Linked DNA regions of Saccharomyces cerevisiae S288C. The protein of the gene in region 4 purifies or fractionates together with the protein of the main gene of each other region. This does not show direct contact. Each region holds a gene or a part of one and is shown on either strand. Other genes may lie near its edges.

Region 1 (4,247 bases), on a different chromosome or scaffold from region 4:
AGATTAATTTCTCACTGAAGTGTCTTACTATAACTTGCTCGTACAAAATATTCCCTTTGGTACTCCACCTCTTCAAGATGTATCTGTGTGGTAGGTTCTTGAGGTGATTTAGAAAACGGCCTTCTGATATGTTTGACTAACCCTTGAATGCAACATCTTATTGTTCTCGATTAACTTTTGTCGCGCTGTTGAAAGGGATTCAACAAAACAATGCGCTCGTCTCTAACGATCAATGGTCTATTTATCGTGTAAGTATATATGACATAAACTTTACATATTACGAAGTCATTTTTAAAACTCGAGCTCCTTTTACTCAAAGCTTCTATATTTTACTTTGAGGTCTTCCGATAATTGTATTAGTACTCTCAGCCAATATATGCATCGACAAGTAGCTGGGCGGCTATATCACTAAATAGCTCGCAAAAAAATATTGCTTTTTTATGGCAGAAAAAAACATGTAAAATTGAAAGATAATATTAGTAATGGAAGTATAGATAATTGTATATAGTATTATAGATACATATATCAATACGTATGCATTAAGGACCCTATTTCATGGAGACCAATTTAACATCAAATGTCAATTCAGAGTTAGCAGGAATACCGGGCAAAGCTTGTTTACCGTAGGCATATGGAGCAGGAATGACAATTCTACGCTCACCACCGACCGCCATACCAGCAACACCGATGTCCCATCCTTTAATTACTTCGCCTTGGCCCAACTTAAAAACAAAAGGCTTACCCTTTGTATTCTTGTCAAAAACTTTCCCGTTCTTCAACTTACCAACATATCTCATTCCAACTCTGGTACCCTTTTTGGCATGTGGGCCTTTTCCTGTGACGCGGTCTTCAATGATAATACCGCCTTCCAGTAGCTTCGTCTTTGGCTTTGGTTTGCTCTCTTCCGAGTCTTTAACTTTCTCTGCTTTCTTGTCTTTCTTGGTCGTTTGTTTTTTCTCGGCAGGTTTAGCACTTTCTTCCTCATCTTCCTCATGTTTCCTTTTACTGTCCTTCTTGTTGTTTTTCTTCTTTTCGTCCTTTTTGACTAATTCATCAAGACGACTTTCGATGTCACTAGCATCTACTAAATCATCAAGATCGTCATCACCGGAACTTAGTTCCTCATCGTCCTCTTCTTCTTCTTCTTCTTCTTCTTCTCCATTGGAAGATTCTTCGTCACTGTAATAGTCTTCTTCATCTTCGTCTGAATCTGAAGAATTGTCGAATGGATGTTTGACGTAGTTACCGGTTAGAGAGATAGTGTATGAACCGGTAACGACGAATTGAACGTCTTCCTCTGGTGCAATGGTAATATCCAAAGCTTGTTGATATTGGCCTTTTGGAGATAAGGTTAAAAGAACGCATTCTTCGAATTCATCGTCGATTTCGTTTTCATCTTCAGAGTCTTCTGATTCACTTTGCTCGACTGCCTTACCTTTTTTTGATTTGACACTCCTTTTTGGTACATCTGCTTCTTGTTCACTTTCACTTTCATCCTCTTCGAGGCCGTCATTGTTATCTTGGTTGTAGTACTCACCGCGAGTGAGTTCAGGATTCCTTTTGATTATTCTTAAAGTAGATGGCTTTTTGTCATCGTCAAAGGGCTCAGGGTCGATGGCCGCCATTGTGATTCTAATGGTAACCGGAATTTTGAAGTTCAGAGCTGGGGTTGGGGAGTATGGTTCAACATTCAGGCTATACGTAGCCAATGGAAGCATATCAGACATGGTAGAGACGTATATTTTGTTGTCTTTTTCTTTTTTCTTATCATTCTAACATGAAAAGCACTTCTTTTAACACTGTAAAATTTTCAATGCCCTTCTCTTTTCGATGCACCAGCTAAAATTTTCACTGCCTCGGGTTTGAGATAAAAATATACATAGGGCATCGAAGGCAAGAAATTGAGAAATTTAACGTTCATATGGGTTAATGATTGTATGAGAATGTCTGACGAAGAATATTATTTTTGCTGAAGTTAAACTAAGAATTAGAATTATGACTTGATACACAATGCTACTTTCTTTTGGCCAAGCTATTTGATATAAAAGTATACGTAAATACAGAAAAAGGCAACAGTATGCAGGAAGTTATTCGTAGTTCTTTCGTCACTCGAAATAAAACGTACAACAGACTTAACTTTTACGCGTGTATTAAATATCAACGCACTAATCATACACCCCACTGAGGCAGGTTTAATCACAAAAATGTTGAGATTATTTGCCGCAGCAAACTTTAGCATCTGCACTGTAGTTGCTTCCCCAGCATCCACTTAGTATGGACAAATTGGGTTGTATGTTTACCTTTTACATATATAACATTATCGCTGGCAGGTTACAGAATTTATATGGTGGTTTTGAGAGAAGTTAACACATTGGGAGGACGACTCTGATTATACCTATTGCAATGGCTCGCTAGGACAGCATTTCCTCCACAGAGACTTTGCCTCAGTGCGGTTGGAGTAGACCATGCAGCTTCCAATGTAAATGAATAGATATAGCCTAGTGGCCCAGAACGGCGATGACCTGATCTTGAACCCTTAGATATTAATATTTATGATTTTTTGTATTTTGCTATGTAAGAGAAAAAAAAAATTATAGATACAAAAAGAAGGATATAGAAAAGCACAGATAATGTTGATAGGAAAAATGAATTAGAAGAGGATTAAACTTAGATTACATATCCACTTACCTTTCCGTTATTGTCAAACAGTATTTTCAGATCAACGCATTCTCTATCAATTCTCCTTGTTTTGAAATTCTATTTTAAATCATTTATAATTTTTTCAGTTCAATTTAGAATTTCAATAGGTGTGGCTTGTCACCGTTCTTCAAAGAGAAAGAAGCGGACAAATATTGCTTCAACAATGGGGTCTTCTTGATTTCAGCCAACAAAGCCTTGTCAACAACCTTTTGATCTTCAACACGTTCAGTCTTGATTTCCTTAGTTTGTTGTTCTGGGAACAAGTTAGCTTCCTTCTTTTCCTTCTTGGTCAATTTTTCCTTGGCAAAGTATTCAACGTTGAATTTTTCAACGTTGACACCTTCCACGGAGACTTTGGTAGAGGTAGCAATGACATAACGAGCGTTGACTCTTCTCAATGGAACACCATTGACCTTGAATGGACCAGTGACCAATAGAGTGTTGTCTTCTAGATGTTTCAAGTAGACAACTCTCTTACCTCTGAAACGGCCAGCTAGCAAGATCAAAACAGTGCCTGGAACTAGAGAGGCACGCAACTTTTGTGGGCGAACAGCCTTTCTGGTTTTCTTTGGGGCAGCAACGTCTTCGGAAGGATACCACTTTGGGGCCTATAATTGACATATCGTGATGTAAATCACATATATAGTTAGTATACTACTCGTTTACTTTTTTCTTGCACAATTGATGGTGGGCATGGCGTGTGCTGATTCAGCACAAGGTTTGGTACTATCCTCAAAAAAATTCTTAGCGTAGGAAGAAGTTTACTCAGATTAGCTATAATATGAGTTATTGTTACTATGTTTCTCAGTCATTTGATGCTATATTTTCATTTTTACTAAAATCGTTATTTTCATTTTGTCCAGTTTTGTCCAGTTCATATTTAAAAGGTTAGCTCCCTTCCTGCTTTTGTTCTTGGGTAACTATTTTCCTCTAGGCACGTGTGCCATCTCCATAACCATCACATCCTTCAATTTACTCATCTTTACACATACTTGTTGGGCAGTCATTTCGTTGAATATATTTGCTTCTCTTCCAAGTTCAAGAAAGTAGTCAAACCTAAATGAGATTTTGCTTGAAAATTATCTATTGACTTTTGATCAACTGCCATATTACAGGGCCTCGCGCCTACAACATTAATTGAAACTCACACACTCTATACAGTGCAAATGGGCAAGCACAGGACCAGAATGAGGTTTGTTTCCGCCCATGTGCTCCCTCTACCGTAAACGATGCTGAACGGAAGCGCAGCCTAGAAGGCCGACTTAGCACGGCAAGTCCAGGTTAGGCGAGGATATTACTCGCCGCCTACGGGGAGAATCAGCACATGGGGGCATCCTCCATCTGCGGCCGCCCGGAGGGGACGCATAACCACAACTATGTGTTTCACCGCCATTTTGCAGCTAACAACGATTTTTGAAGGCAAGAAAAAAAATTATGACCCATACATTTTGGTGCATGGGTGATATTTTGTCTTTATTATTATTAGTAACTTTCAGATTAAGACAAGGAAGAAAGAAGGAAAAAAGGTAGGACATGAAGCATGAGAG
Region 2 (4,176 bases), on a different chromosome or scaffold from region 4:
TAATGCATCCTTTACTGAAGAACTGAGTATATTGGATAGAGGAGATAGCTCAAAAAATAAAGAGCTAGACAAAAAGATTATCTCGGAGGGTGTTCCGGATGAATTAAGAAATAAAACTTTGACAAGAGCATTGAAACTTTTATACGAGGCTGATGAAGATGAAAGGGATGACACTTATGATGAAGCCGATGTGAACCGGTCCGATCCTTCGAAAAGAATTGGACTTCAAGAAGACGAAGAAAGCTATGATACAAAAGATGATTCTAATGAAGTGCGACAAGATCATAACTATCATATTGTTGAAGCTTACTTGTGGAATCTATTGAAAGAGGATCCGAAATTATTTGAGAGATCAAAAAGAGGTACAAAAGTCAGGAAAACTATGAAAGAAATGACTTCATGGTCGGATGAAAAAATCGAAGGTTGGTGTCGGATGTTAGAAAGATCTCCTACCCGAGCAAGACTTTTAGAAAAGAAGTTTATGTTCAAAGGAAATAGCAAAACAGGGAAAACGTCTTATGTTCATAATCGTGATAGCCAAAATGATGGAAATGTCGTCAAAGAACAAGCCAAACAAAAAAAATCTGAAAATATTAAGAAACATGAACCTCAATCTACTGAACAGAAGAAAAGACAGCATGCTAAGAATGAAAAAAGGAAAGGGGCTAGAGCTAACCATAACCGTAAGAAGGGGCACGATAAAAAATTGGCTCGTGCGGGAAATAACGCTATTTGATAAAATGCATCAGCATACAAGATAGACAAGCGTATGTAAGTTTACTAGACGGTATACAATTATGTAACGTATTATAAGTTATTCAGCGTCGCGTTCAGGAAGTGCTTTTTTTAATAATTTTTCCCGCCGACTAGTAAAACTTTGCCTTCAATTAGCGTCCTTTACTATTAAATTTTGCTTTTCTTACTGGCTTTAGAAGCAGCTACCTTTCCCTCCAATTTATTCCAAAGCTCATCTGCGTCTTCTTCAAGTTCTGTAACCTTCCTTTTTTGCTTCCCTTTGGCAGCTTTCGCACTTGGACTTAGTGGCATCTCGATTTCAACGTCATCCAGCATAACAATAAAATTTATACGGGACCCAACATAAACCTTCACCAGCATTTTGTTAGTTTTTATATCGAAGATCCGAACATACCTATCTAAACCACCTTGTAAAAGATATTTGCCGTCATGTACATGAATATAGGTTGACGAACCAGTGATATCATCTCTACCCACCTTGCCCAACATTCTTCCATTACCATCGAATTTAAAAACATTCTTTTTGTAGTCAGTAGTAATCACATTCAGTTCATTAAAGGTTTCAGATTGAAAATTCCCCAACGAAGAGACAACATTTTCTCCCTTGGCATCAAAAACTTCCATCTGAGATAATGGTTCACGGTTAGGTAATAAATCTATCTGAGCGAACGGTTTTCTGCCATGTTGTGTGCTGTATTTGGTGAGGTGGGACCAACGGGTTATGGCTGCAAACTGGTAGTTCAGCTTACCCTTTTCAGTTTTACCAGGGGAGGGCTCCAAAAATCTTAGGGCCATGGGCCATACTGGGACTCTCATATCCAACCTGTCGTTTTTAACATTCTTGGCTTCCCAAATTTGCTTTAAAGATTGGAAACTCGAATCTATTTCCACTAATTTTATTAAATTCTCCTCCCCTCCGTATGCAAATATATATTTATCAGTATCGGTATCTTCTAGATCATATAACTGAAGAAATTCTACTGGTGCTTTCAGTCCAAGGGATGCTAGTTTTATTAACTTTTTATCTTCTCCTTTTTTTATAATATGTAATAATCCCGATTTGGTAGCAGCTACGAATGTGTTATTCGACGAATCCTTTTTTATGGGACATAATGTGACAAAACCATCCACCAACTTGGTTCTTTTAACAGATTTACTTGAAAGTGATTCCAATTTGGCATCATCAAAAAGGTCTGAAACTGAGCTGGTTATCTCAAACTCGGATATGTCAAATTTGGGTAGATCATCGGAAAGGCTCTTTTCATTTTTGCTTTCTCCTTTGGGATCGACCTGGAGAGCTTCATTTTCTTTAAGGTGTTTCGAAATCTTTACAAGTTCGACGACCCCTGAATTCCTTGCTAAGATGGCTTCATCTTCGGATATCACCCACATCCTGTCAACGTAAGCTTTCAATCCTTCGGCTAGATGAGGTGCCACATGAAAAGGCTGCAGTGCTGATTGTACGGAAGTGTCAGTCCCGATGTTACACAAAACTTCCTTTATGGATCCACTATCCACACAGCTGACTAGTAACCTCATTTTACGATCGAAGCTGGGCCTATTTATGGTTAAATTTTCTCTGTATTATGTTCATTGAAGTGAGGCTTCGAGATTGGGCATCGCTTTACAAAATTTTTCAGCTTTATTTTATTACCAAAAAAATACCCGGAAACCATCAATAACAAACACCGATTCAAGTAGCAGCAAAAGTAGTTCATGAGCGAAAACAATAGATTGGCTTTAAAAAGGAAGCAAAGGACGCCTCAGTGTAGTTGATAGCCTGTTAAAATGTCTACACAGCAGCAATCTTACACAATTTGGTCTCCACAAGATACTGTTAAAGATGTCGCTGAGTCGCTTGGGTTGGAAAATATCAACGATGACGTGTTGAAAGCACTTGCTATGGACGTTGAATACCGTATTCTAGAGATTATTGAACAGGCAGTCAAGTTTAAAAGACACTCTAAAAGAGATGTTTTAACTACAGACGATGTATCGAAGGCCCTGCGTGTTCTGAATGTGGAACCTTTATATGGATATTATGATGGCTCTGAAGTTAATAAAGCTGTATCATTTAGTAAGGTTAACACAAGTGGAGGACAGTCGGTTTACTACCTGGATGAGGAAGAAGTAGATTTTGATAGATTAATAAATGAGCCATTACCGCAAGTGCCTCGTCTACCAACTTTTACTACACATTGGCTAGCAGTTGAAGGGGTTCAACCTGCCATAATCCAAAATCCAAATTTGAATGATATAAGGGTATCCCAACCACCATTTATTAGAGGTGCTATTGTCACTGCTTTGAATGATAACAGCCTCCAAACACCTGTAACGTCGACGACAGCAAGTGCTTCTGTGACGGATACAGGCGCCTCTCAACACCTGTCTAATGTTAAACCAGGACAGAATACTGAAGTCAAACCTTTAGTGAAACACGTTTTATCCAAAGAATTACAGATTTATTTCAATAAGGTCATTTCAACCTTGACAGCGAAGAGTCAAGCTGATGAAGCTGCACAGCATATGAAACAAGCAGCTTTGACTTCACTACGAACTGATAGTGGCCTGCACCAACTGGTTCCATATTTTATTCAATTTATTGCCGAACAAATCACACAAAATCTTTCCGATTTACAATTGCTAACAACAATTTTGGAAATGATTTACTCTTTACTAAGCAATACTTCTATTTTCCTGGACCCTTATATTCATTCGTTAATGCCTTCCATTTTAACCTTGCTATTAGCAAAAAAACTTGGTGGATCACCAAAAGATGATTCGCCGCAAGAAATTCATGAATTTTTAGAAAGAACGAATGCACTACGTGATTTTGCCGCATCTTTGTTGGACTATGTATTGAAAAAATTTCCTCAAGCATACAAATCCCTGAAGCCAAGAGTAACTAGGACACTGCTAAAGACATTTTTGGACATAAACCGTGTTTTTGGGACTTACTATGGGTGCTTAAAGGGTGTATCGGTACTAGAAGGTGAATCCATCAGATTCTTCTTAGGAAACCTAAATAATTGGGCGCGCTTGGTATTCAATGAAAGCGGAATAACTCTAGACAATATAGAGGAACATTTGAACGATGACTCCAATCCAACTAGGACCAAATTTACTAAAGAAGAAACTCAAATCTTGGTTGATACTGTAATTAGTGCATTGTTAGTTCTAAAAAAGGATTTACCAGATTTGTACGAGGGTAAAGGTGAAAAAGTTACGGATGAGGATAAGGAAAAATTGCTAGAGAGGTGTGGTGTCACTATTGGATTTCACATTTTGAAAAGAGACGACGCAAAAGAATTAATTAGTGCGATATTTTTTGGCGAATAGTGAGAATCGGTTTATACTAATAGTACAACGGTAATGTTATATAACAGTTTTTACATACGCCATTGTATGTATATATATATA
Region 3 (4,075 bases), on a different chromosome or scaffold from region 4:
ATTACGTATCTTCTCTACTTTTGTGCAAATGTAAATACTAAATGAAAGCCCTATTTTGTGTAGGGTTTACACCGCACAAAGTAAAAAGAAGCGATAAAAATGAAAAAAAGTAGTCAAAATACATACTATCAAAGTAAGGGCATTGGTGAAATACTGCGAGGCTGGCCTTTTCCGCAAATATCTGGGGCAGCGAAGCGAAGGGGCCCGATAGGAACTTTTGGGGCGGGAGCCCTTGCATTGACATGGTTAAGGTTTTACATCCATCATTCTCCCCCTCTCTTGTGGTTTAAAAAAATAAAAGGTGGCCGATTTTTATGTAATATAGAAACGACTTCTGTCCTTCTGTCCTCTGTATTACCTAATTTTCTTTCTCTTGATGGTATTTAACTTTCTAAGCATTATAAGATAATATTAAAGGGAAAGTGTTTCTAGAATGCAATCGAGCTTACCTCAATTTACGTTCAAATGGCCCAAAGGACCCGAAGCAATTATTCTGACAGGCACGTTCGACGACTGGAAAGGTACTTTGCCGATGGTGAAGGACCCCAGTGGCGCCTTCGAAATAACGCTGCCAGTAACGTTTGATAGCCCTAGCAGCAAGTTTTATTTCAAGTTTATTGTTGATGGCCAATGGCTGCCAAGCAAAGACTACAAGGTGAACATCGACGAGGGAGTGGAAAACAACTTTATTACCGAGGAAGACGTAATAAAGCAACGCGAAAATGGCTCTAGCACGCTGGTACCTGAAAGTGCCGGATTAGCTGTTTCAAAGAATGCCCCTCTTATCGAACCAGAAGCTGAAAAACGTGCAAAAAAATTAAGAAAGTTCAAGATCAAGAGAGTGATCAAGACAAATAAACAAACCGGAGAAAGGTCGATATTTTCCCAAGAAGTGGTTGAATTGCCCGATAGCGAGGATGAAACCCAGCAGGTGAACAAAACGGGCAAGAATGCGGATGGCTTAAGCGGTACTACAACGATAATTGAGAATAATGTTGGTGTAAACGAGGAAAAAGCAATCAAGCCGTATGAAGAGAATCACCCCAAAGTTAATCTAGTTAAGAGTGAAGGATATGTTACGGACGGTTTGGGTAAGACGCAATCTTCTGAGTCTAGATTATATGAACTATCGGCCGAAGATCTTGAAAAGGAAGAAGAGGAAGAGGACGAAGATAAAGGCGGCGGTAAGGACACCAGTACAAGTGCAGACGCTGAAGCTTCAGAAGATCAAAATAAGGAACCATTAAGTAAATCCGCTAAATTTGAAAAACCGGAAGAAAAAGTACCTGTAAGCTCAATTACAAGCCATGCTAAAGAGACTTCTGTGAAACCAACCGGCAAGGTTGCGACTGAGACTCAAACTTACGAGACGAAACAGGGCGCTCCTACCGCTGCCGCAAAAAAAATCGAAGCTAAGAAAGCTACTAGACCTTCGAAACCTAAGGGCACGAAAGAAACACCAAATAAAGGTGTCCAAAAGAACCCTGCTAAGAATGGAGGGTTCTTTAAAAAGTTGGCCCAGCTTTTGAAGTGAAAACAATCAGGAGAATACCTAAATATATGACGTACTCGCCATACCTAACTATGTAAAACCTAATTATGTATTAATAACAATACCATGTTGTATGTAAACTCTGATGTAGGATCGCACTTTTGCCGAAAGCACATGCTTGTCTTTGTATTTCGCTTGTACGCCTTTGCTCAGAAAATTCTGTAGGAGTCACGTTTCCCGTTGAAATGCAAAAACCTGAAATTTTTCAGTCTGAAAGAAAAAATTGCGATGAGCATAGATGATAAATTTAACCATACAACAAAGAGAAATCCTTTTCCCCACAGAACATTACCTAAACCCAACAACTTTCTATAATTTGAGATAGAATGTCAGAAACAGAACTGTCGAAAGAAGATGCTGTTACAAAAAAGGATAACGAGGAACAAGTCAAGAAGGCTTTACTCGATCCAACAAAAAAGAGAAAAGCTGAAGATGAAATTGAGATTGACCTGAAAAGCTCCATTCCCCTATCAAAAAAACAGAAACGTCTCTTGAGAAGAGGTAAAGTTACTCTAGAGGAGTTGAATGCGAAGTACAATATCGACCCTAAGTCAATCGAGGAATACAAAGAAGATGCTGAAAAGAAAAAGTCTGGTGCTTCTGAGAAAGACGCCCAGGGTGAAGAATCTACAATCAACACTCCAACAGGAGATGAATCTGGCGAGGTTGTAAAAAAGAAGAAGAAAGATGAAAATAAATATGGTGTTTGGATTGGTAACTTATCCTTCGACACCACAAAGGACGATTTAGTAAGATTTTTTATTGCTAAAACAAAAGACAACGAAGATGAAAAGAGCAGAGTCACCGAACAAGACATAACCAGGTTATCCATGCCTCGTGTTGCTGCCAAGAACTCTAACGCCATGAAAAATAAGGGATTTTGCTACATGTTTTTCAAGAACGTCGAGCAGATGAAAGCGGTCTTAGAATTATCTGAATCTCATTTAAACGGAAGGAATATGCTAATCAAGGACTCCGAAAATTATTCAGGTAGGCCAGACAAGGACGATTTAGTTGCCATGTCCAAAAATCCACCGTCAAGGATTCTATTTGTCGGTAATTTGTCATTCGATGTCACAGATGATCTGTTAAGAAAACACTTCCAACATTGTGGTGATATCGTGAAAATCCGCATGGCAACATTCGAAGATAGTGGTAAATGTAAAGGATTCGCATTTATCGACTTCAAGAATGAAGAAGGATCTACTAATGCATTAAAGGATAAAAGTTGTAGAAAAATTGCCGGAAGGCCATTGCGAATGGAATACGGTGAAGATAGAAGTAAAAGACAAGTTCGTAAGAAGGTTGAAAATGTATCCAGAAACAATTCCTCATCATTTGATATCTCTAACAACAAAGGATACGATCGTGCGGGACAGGATAACGGCAGCAAACCCGAATACAAGCGGTCCAACGCCAACAGACGTCCACCTGTAGATTCCAATAACCGAACTAAGAGCAGTGTAGCTTTAGCCACTGCTCAGAGAGGTTCTGCAGCTATTGTCCCATCACAAGGTAAGAAAGTGAAGTTTGACTAATCAGCGTGAACTGACTGTAGGTGCCACGTATATAATGCGATTATTTCGCTTGTAAATTATTCAATCATTCATGTTTTATATATACATTGTATAACCAATTGCTGCTATTTTTATTTTTTCCATTATTGCTTATCAAGGCACGGGGAGAACGCACGGAAAAAAAAAAAAAAAAGAAGAAAGAAATGAGGTAAACAAGATCTTTAGGAGCGGTTCGCATATTAGTAATACACTGATAATCGCCGTACACTCATAAAATCCTAAACTACTCACCAGGTACCGAAACACTACTGATCCGTTTTTTGGACTGGTTGTTGGCACACTTTCGCTTAAGACACACATTTAGTATTTCAATCCCCATCCGTCGATATCTGAAGGAAATCTAAAAGAAAAGCTGGATAGAGTAATTATTTTGGCCATCGTATGAACTCCAATAGTACCATCGGAAGGACCACCCTTGGAGAATCTGATACGATATCCCTGTCATTCAGTGAACCAAGTAGCAGTCTGAATTCACGATCAACGGATGTTGTCTTCGCATCTACTTCAACTTTAGTACCCCAACAAGGAAGTCTGACCTCATTACCGCCCGTGTCTAGTACAGCTACTCCTACATATTATTCTACAAGCTTAACATATGATGAGACTTTGCATACATCCATTGATGTATCTTCGACAAGTACTTTAGTATCATCTACCGACAGCAGTTCATCGAGCGAGCAAGATACGTATAGTTCCCAATATGACCCAGCTACCTCCTCATACTCAATAATTACACCATCCATGTCCATTTTCTCATCGACGTCACCAATGTCATCATCGTCGTCAATAACGTCGGAATGGTCATCGTTAACATCAACAACACCAACGTTATCGTCATCAGCTACATCGCTGTCATCATCATGGTCGTCGTTATCATCACCATCTTCGTTACTGGTATCGTCCTCGTTGTCATTATCACTATCTTCATCATATTCAGACACTAAAT
Region 4 (5,224 bases):
GAGGACGAGTTTTGGACGAACGTGGGAATAATGAAACGGTACTTAACAACGTTGTGCCGCCTAAGGAAGATTTGGATGCATTATTGAAGACATTCAGGGTACAAGGGCCCGTTGGCCTTGAAGAAAATGAGAAGAAGCTCTTATTAGGATGGCTAGATGCGCATAGAAAAATGGAAAAAGGCTCTATGACTGAAGAAGACGTTCAACTGATTCAAAGTTTGGAAGAGTGGGAAATGAATGATATAGAGGGACAACATACTCATTATGATTTATTGCCAGGGGGAGATGAGTTTGGCGTAGATCAAGATGAGTTGGATGCTATGAAGGAAATGGGCTTTTAGCAATGTCATTGAAGGTAATAATCCAAACGTGCGTGTGGGCATCTATACATATAGGTTTATATATATTGTGTAAATAAAGCTTGTAGAAAGAGCCTGGTTCGAGTGTTTGATTTTTTCTTCTTGGGCGTTATTATACAATATCTACTTCAAATTATTTATCTAGGTGGTCCATAAGCGAGCCGTATTATCAGCACCGGCAGAAAACAGCCAAGCTTCCCTCGGATGCCAAATAGCATCAAGAACACCCAGACTATTGATTACTTTATGACCGGTTAGTTTCTTTAGTGGCACAATCATCGGATTTTTCATCATGTCATCATAAACAGTGGCATGGAAAACATGTATGGTACCGTCATCAGCGGCAGAGCTGAATAGAGGTAACTTTTTGTGGAAATTCACACTTCTGACGGCTTTTTCATGATATCTTAGTGTCTTGTAAGGTGTGCTAGCCAAATCCAGGTCGTGCCATAAAACTCTCTTGTCAAACGATGACGCAATTAAATTATCACCCCTTGGGTGAATATCGATTTTCGATAACCAACGGGCACCAGGCAACAGTTTCTTGACCAATATTTGTTGAGATAAATCATAAATTCTGACATATCTTTGGGAACAGACAAATAATTGAGGTTTAAAAGGATGGAACTTCGCATCCATAATAATGCCCTTCGATTTTTTGAATGGGGATTGGGTTAAATGCTTGGAAACTTGGTGAATCAAAACAGAAGTGTTACCAGAGTCAGGTTGAACAGTGACAAAGTAATCACCTTTTCTATGCCATGAAAGCTTTTTTACTGTTTTTTTGCAAGAAATAGTGATACAAATATCCTTTTCTAGTTGCTTTTGAGAAGGCTTGTTCCATTGGGCTACTTGTTTTTTTACAGCATTCTTAGCAGATTCATTCTCTCCATCTTCATCGCCATCACCATTCTCGTTCACTTCTAGGTTAGATTTTTTAACAGTCCCAAAAGTATCGTAGCCAAAACCATCTTCAATCTTAGTTTTGCCGTTATTTTCAATATCGTAGCCGAATATTGGTGGTACTATTAAATGAATGTTTTCACCAACAGCAACGGCGAGAATACCATTATTAGCATCAGGATTCCATTCAATGCATTCAATGTGGTAATCTGGGTTTTCCTCGTCATCGATTAAAGTAGTTCTATAAACTTCTCTACCAGTTAAAATTTCCCATACCCTGACTGTTCCGTCATCAGATCCTGTTGCTAGCCATAATCCAGAAGGATCAATGGATAATGTGCGTACTTTTCCTTTGTGACCAGCGTATATTGTTGAGCAACGAATAGGGAAGGGTCTTAAATCCTTGGGAGAGGGAAGTTCTGGAATTAGAGAATTAGGATCAATATTCAATTTGTTTTTACGGACACGAGGAGCTAAATATAAATCCAAAGATCTTTCAAATCTTTCCCTAATAGATTCACCGTAACCAGGGACCTTTCTTAAGGCAGAATACTTTTGAGGTATGAAGTTTCTTTCTCTTTCACTATATTCAGTATTTTCCCAGGCCTCCTTTTCTTCAGGAGACAAAAGATACTCTTCTGGTGGATTATAACTCTCTTCATTAGTTGGTGGAGGTAATTTTGGTGCCCTTAGATGCATTACATGATCATTTGTTTCCGTAGAATCACCCCATAAATCGTATTGATAGTTTTCAATTTTTTCCTTTTCTTTCATTTCCTTTAATTTTTTAGGAGGAATAATACGGCCCTCTCTGATAGCTCTTACAATTTTCATAACTCTCTTGGCTTCGTTTTTGGATGGAACAAATCTTCTTTTTGGCTCCGGAACAGCAGTTAATGGCATCACTTCTTCGTGTCTCGTGAACCAATCGATTAACGGTTCGTATGGATTTATGCTATCATCAGTTTGTTCGTTCCTTTGGATTTTGGAAATAAGTTCTAATTCCTCTTTGGTTAAGTTCAAACTTGAACCGGAATTCTTGTCCAGTAAACCAGTCCAGCCTTCAGGTAGCTCGATAGAATCCAACAGTTGATCTAAAGCAGAACCCTTGGCAGGTCTCATAATCCTTTTACCGTTGATATCGTATCCAATGTGTGGCATTTCATCGTATGCAGAAAGTGGAATATTACCAATGGTATTTTGCGTTTCGGCATCACTATCATCGCTATCATAAACTGGATTAATTTCAGGTTTGATAATTCTATCACTGCCATCTGCATATTTTGAGTAAATATTCGGATCAACGATCGTTTGCAATTTCACACCCGATAATCTGTCTGTTAAGGAAGTTGTGTCGTCTGAAAACTCAGAACTGTCATAGTCCTCTTCCCCATCACCTTCTTCTTCGGCAAGCAGTTTGTTTAATTCAGCATCGGAGTCATCATCAGAATCATCTTGGGCTTCTTTATCAGAAGATGATTCCTTTTCTTCAACGGCAGACTCGTATTCGTCATCATCCTCGTCACTCTCACTTGCTTCCGCATCGATCAAACCGTCAACGGATAAAAGCTTGTCCTCATCTTCCTCGACATCAGATTCTTCGCTAGCTGCTCTCTTTTTCGACATCTTTGCCTCGGTAGTTTTGTTGTTCTTAGCCATCATTGACCTAGTTATGTTAGAACAGATTTAATACAGTACCTTTCTTCGCTAGGATCTATATGCGAATATATCACATATGTAAATTATAAGCTCATCGCAAAACCAAAAAAAAAAAAATTTTCAATAATTTTTCACTAATCTTCAAAAACAAATGGGGTAACCCGTACAAGAGTTATTAAAACCCAAAATGACAAAATCGCGACAATTCAATCCTACTTAATTAGCAATAACATACTAGCGGTAGAGCTACTATCACATGTTGAACCTTGAATGCTCAATTCATTGTACTCAATACTGCTATCAAAAGAAAAAAAATGTATTAATTATATTCTTGTCAAAATCAATTTTACACTATAAGAGGAAAATGTTCTTCAGTCCTAGTAACATTAGTTTTCTCCCTTTGCTAGAGACTTTACATAATATCCTAGAAGGTAAAATTCGATAATACAGCAGTAAAGTCGTATATTGGTAGCAATCCTTGGTGACGCTGACTTTTTTTTTTTGTAATTTTATTGTTTAGTTCATGATAAAAAACTTCAAATCACTTTTAATCTGGTAGACAGAGAAAACAAATCGAAACGAAAATAGAGAACTACGAATAAAAAAATATAAGTGGAGAAGATCGTCACTACGCATTAAACAATATTGATCGCTCAATGCCAGTACTGCGCGTAAAAGTTTAGTAACTTAACGATTTAGGCACAATTTGAGAAAAATTTCGCCCTGCAGTAAGTATGTTATTCAGTACGATATAAAGCTGAGGTTTTATGCTGGCAACGTTCAGATTTTTTAGGTTATCAGCAATGTTAAAATATTAAATAGGATACTTTTATTGTTTGAGACCACCCTCAATGCCAGATATGTTAAACGCTTTTTTCTGGAGTGAGGTATCATAGAAAAAGGCTCGAGTACATCAAGCACTTAAAGGTTCAACACTCTACTGTTACTTCTTTAAGCTAAGCTATTCATACATAATAGTCCATCAAAGTGGCTCAAATTGCGCATACAGTGTAAAAATGCGTTCAGGGAATAACGATGTCAAGCAGCGTGTGAAAATTGGACACGTTGAATAATAAACTTCCTGGAAACCGTCGCGCGCCACTGCTGTCAGAAAATAGTAGACTACTTAATTTTCAATTCATATTTAGCCTGCTTTTTGATCTATGAAATCGCCCACTCTAAATCAGCGGTGTTTTTGCACGGTTTGTAATTTTAACTTCATTATATGTATTATTCGGTGACTTCACTAAAAAAGAAGGATCTATGCAATATTCTTATCTTCTATTTTTTTTCTTTTCGATTTTTGAAGTTAAACCTTCGTAATGAACAGATTCGAACAGTATACAGCTGATGACAATTACATGTTAAACTTTCATTGATGATAATGGCACGCACTCCACCTGTTAAAGAGGCAGAACGAAGAACCTTTGCTTATAACATAGGTCAGTGTATACTGGATAATAGTATCGAATAACCAGCATAATATTTTCTCTGGAAATACCTTTAAGGGGTTTTTAGAAGAAAAACAAATCCTAGTGCAACTTGCAAGTCATCAAAAATAATCTATCTTATCTCTATATATATATTTGTGTATTTTATATTTTATGACAAAGCTAGAAATATAAAATCAGATACCGCAATAGAAGATATTTCAAATAATAATACCAATCTCATAGCTCAAAACAGGCACTAAGGGAATACTGAAGAAAGTAATGTCTAGGAGTTAGTATAGCTTGAAGTTGCCATCGGTGTCATTTAGGTAGATCTATCTAGATTACGCGCAGCCCTCAGAAAAGCAAGTGATTTCCGAAGTTTCAACCTACCCAGACTATTCACATAAGGTTAATTTATGATTGAACAGTTCAAATAAATCTGCGCCATTCATGAAGATGATTCGATACCGCAATATGCTGCTAAAGTGCTAAAAAAATGATTTCGCCCAGGATCGAACTGGGGACGTTCTGCGTGTTAAGCAGATGCCATAACCGACTAGACCACGAAACCAGGTTTTATTGAAAAATTGCATCTAAAATAACCTATACTAATAAATCTTCTAATAAATCTTCTAACTCTTCGCTGTTCTATGTGATATCGTTGATAGTTAGGTTTTCGTGTTGAAATAATCAATTACATTTATTGACTGGTTTAATATTAATATATTATCATATACAGTGTAAGAAGGTGAGATATATGTGGGTAATTAGATAATTGTTGGGATTCCATTGTTGATAAAGGCTATAATATTAGGTATACAGAATATACTAGAAGTTCTCCTCGAGGATATAGGAATCCTCAAAATGGAA

Evidence for each region.
Region 1: the proteins of ERB1 (region 4) and FPR4 purify together in Saccharomyces cerevisiae (affinity purification with mass spectrometry; 3 studies listed by BioGRID). This does not show direct contact.
Region 2: the proteins of ERB1 (region 4) and NSA1 purify together in Saccharomyces cerevisiae (affinity purification with mass spectrometry; 10 studies listed by BioGRID, with this or other methods). This does not show direct contact.
Region 3: the proteins of ERB1 (region 4) and NOP13 purify together in Saccharomyces cerevisiae (affinity purification with mass spectrometry; 2 studies listed by BioGRID). This does not show direct contact.

What each region holds. Positions count from the first base shown.
Region 1 is NC_001144.5:1,028,314-1,032,560, reverse strand, and holds FPR4 (peptidylprolyl isomerase FPR4), read right to left. Parts: upstream 1,728-4,247; coding exon 549-1,727; downstream 1-548. Other genes in the region: 60S ribosomal protein eL6 RPL6B, read right to left, coding at 2,793-3,308, 3,693-3,707. UniProt on the Saccharomyces cerevisiae protein: PPIase that acts as a histone chaperone. Histone proline isomerase that increases the rate of cis-trans isomerization at 'Pro-17' (H3P16), 'Pro-31' (H3P30) and 'Pro-39 (H3P38) on the histone H3 N-terminal tail.
Region 2 is NC_001139.9:298,097-302,272, reverse strand, and holds NSA1 (ribosome biosynthesis protein NSA1), read right to left. Parts: upstream 2,296-4,176; coding exon 904-2,295; downstream 1-903. Other genes in the region: CUE3 (Cue3p), read left to right, coding at 1-736; TATA-binding protein-associated factor TAF6, read left to right, coding at 2,545-4,095. UniProt on the Saccharomyces cerevisiae protein: Involved in the biogenesis of the 60S ribosomal subunit.
Region 3 is NC_001146.8:306,416-310,490, reverse strand, and holds NOP13 (Nop13p), read left to right. Parts: upstream 1-1,878; coding exon 1,879-3,090; downstream 3,091-4,075. Other genes in the region: MDG1 (Mdg1p), read left to right, coding at 434-1,534; TDA7 (Tda7p), read left to right, coding at 3,511-4,075.
Region 4 is NC_001145.3:367,594-372,817, forward strand, and holds ERB1 (ribosome biogenesis protein ERB1), read right to left. Parts: upstream 2,925-5,224; coding exon 501-2,924; downstream 1-500. Other genes in the region: CSM3 (Csm3p), read left to right, coding at 1-341.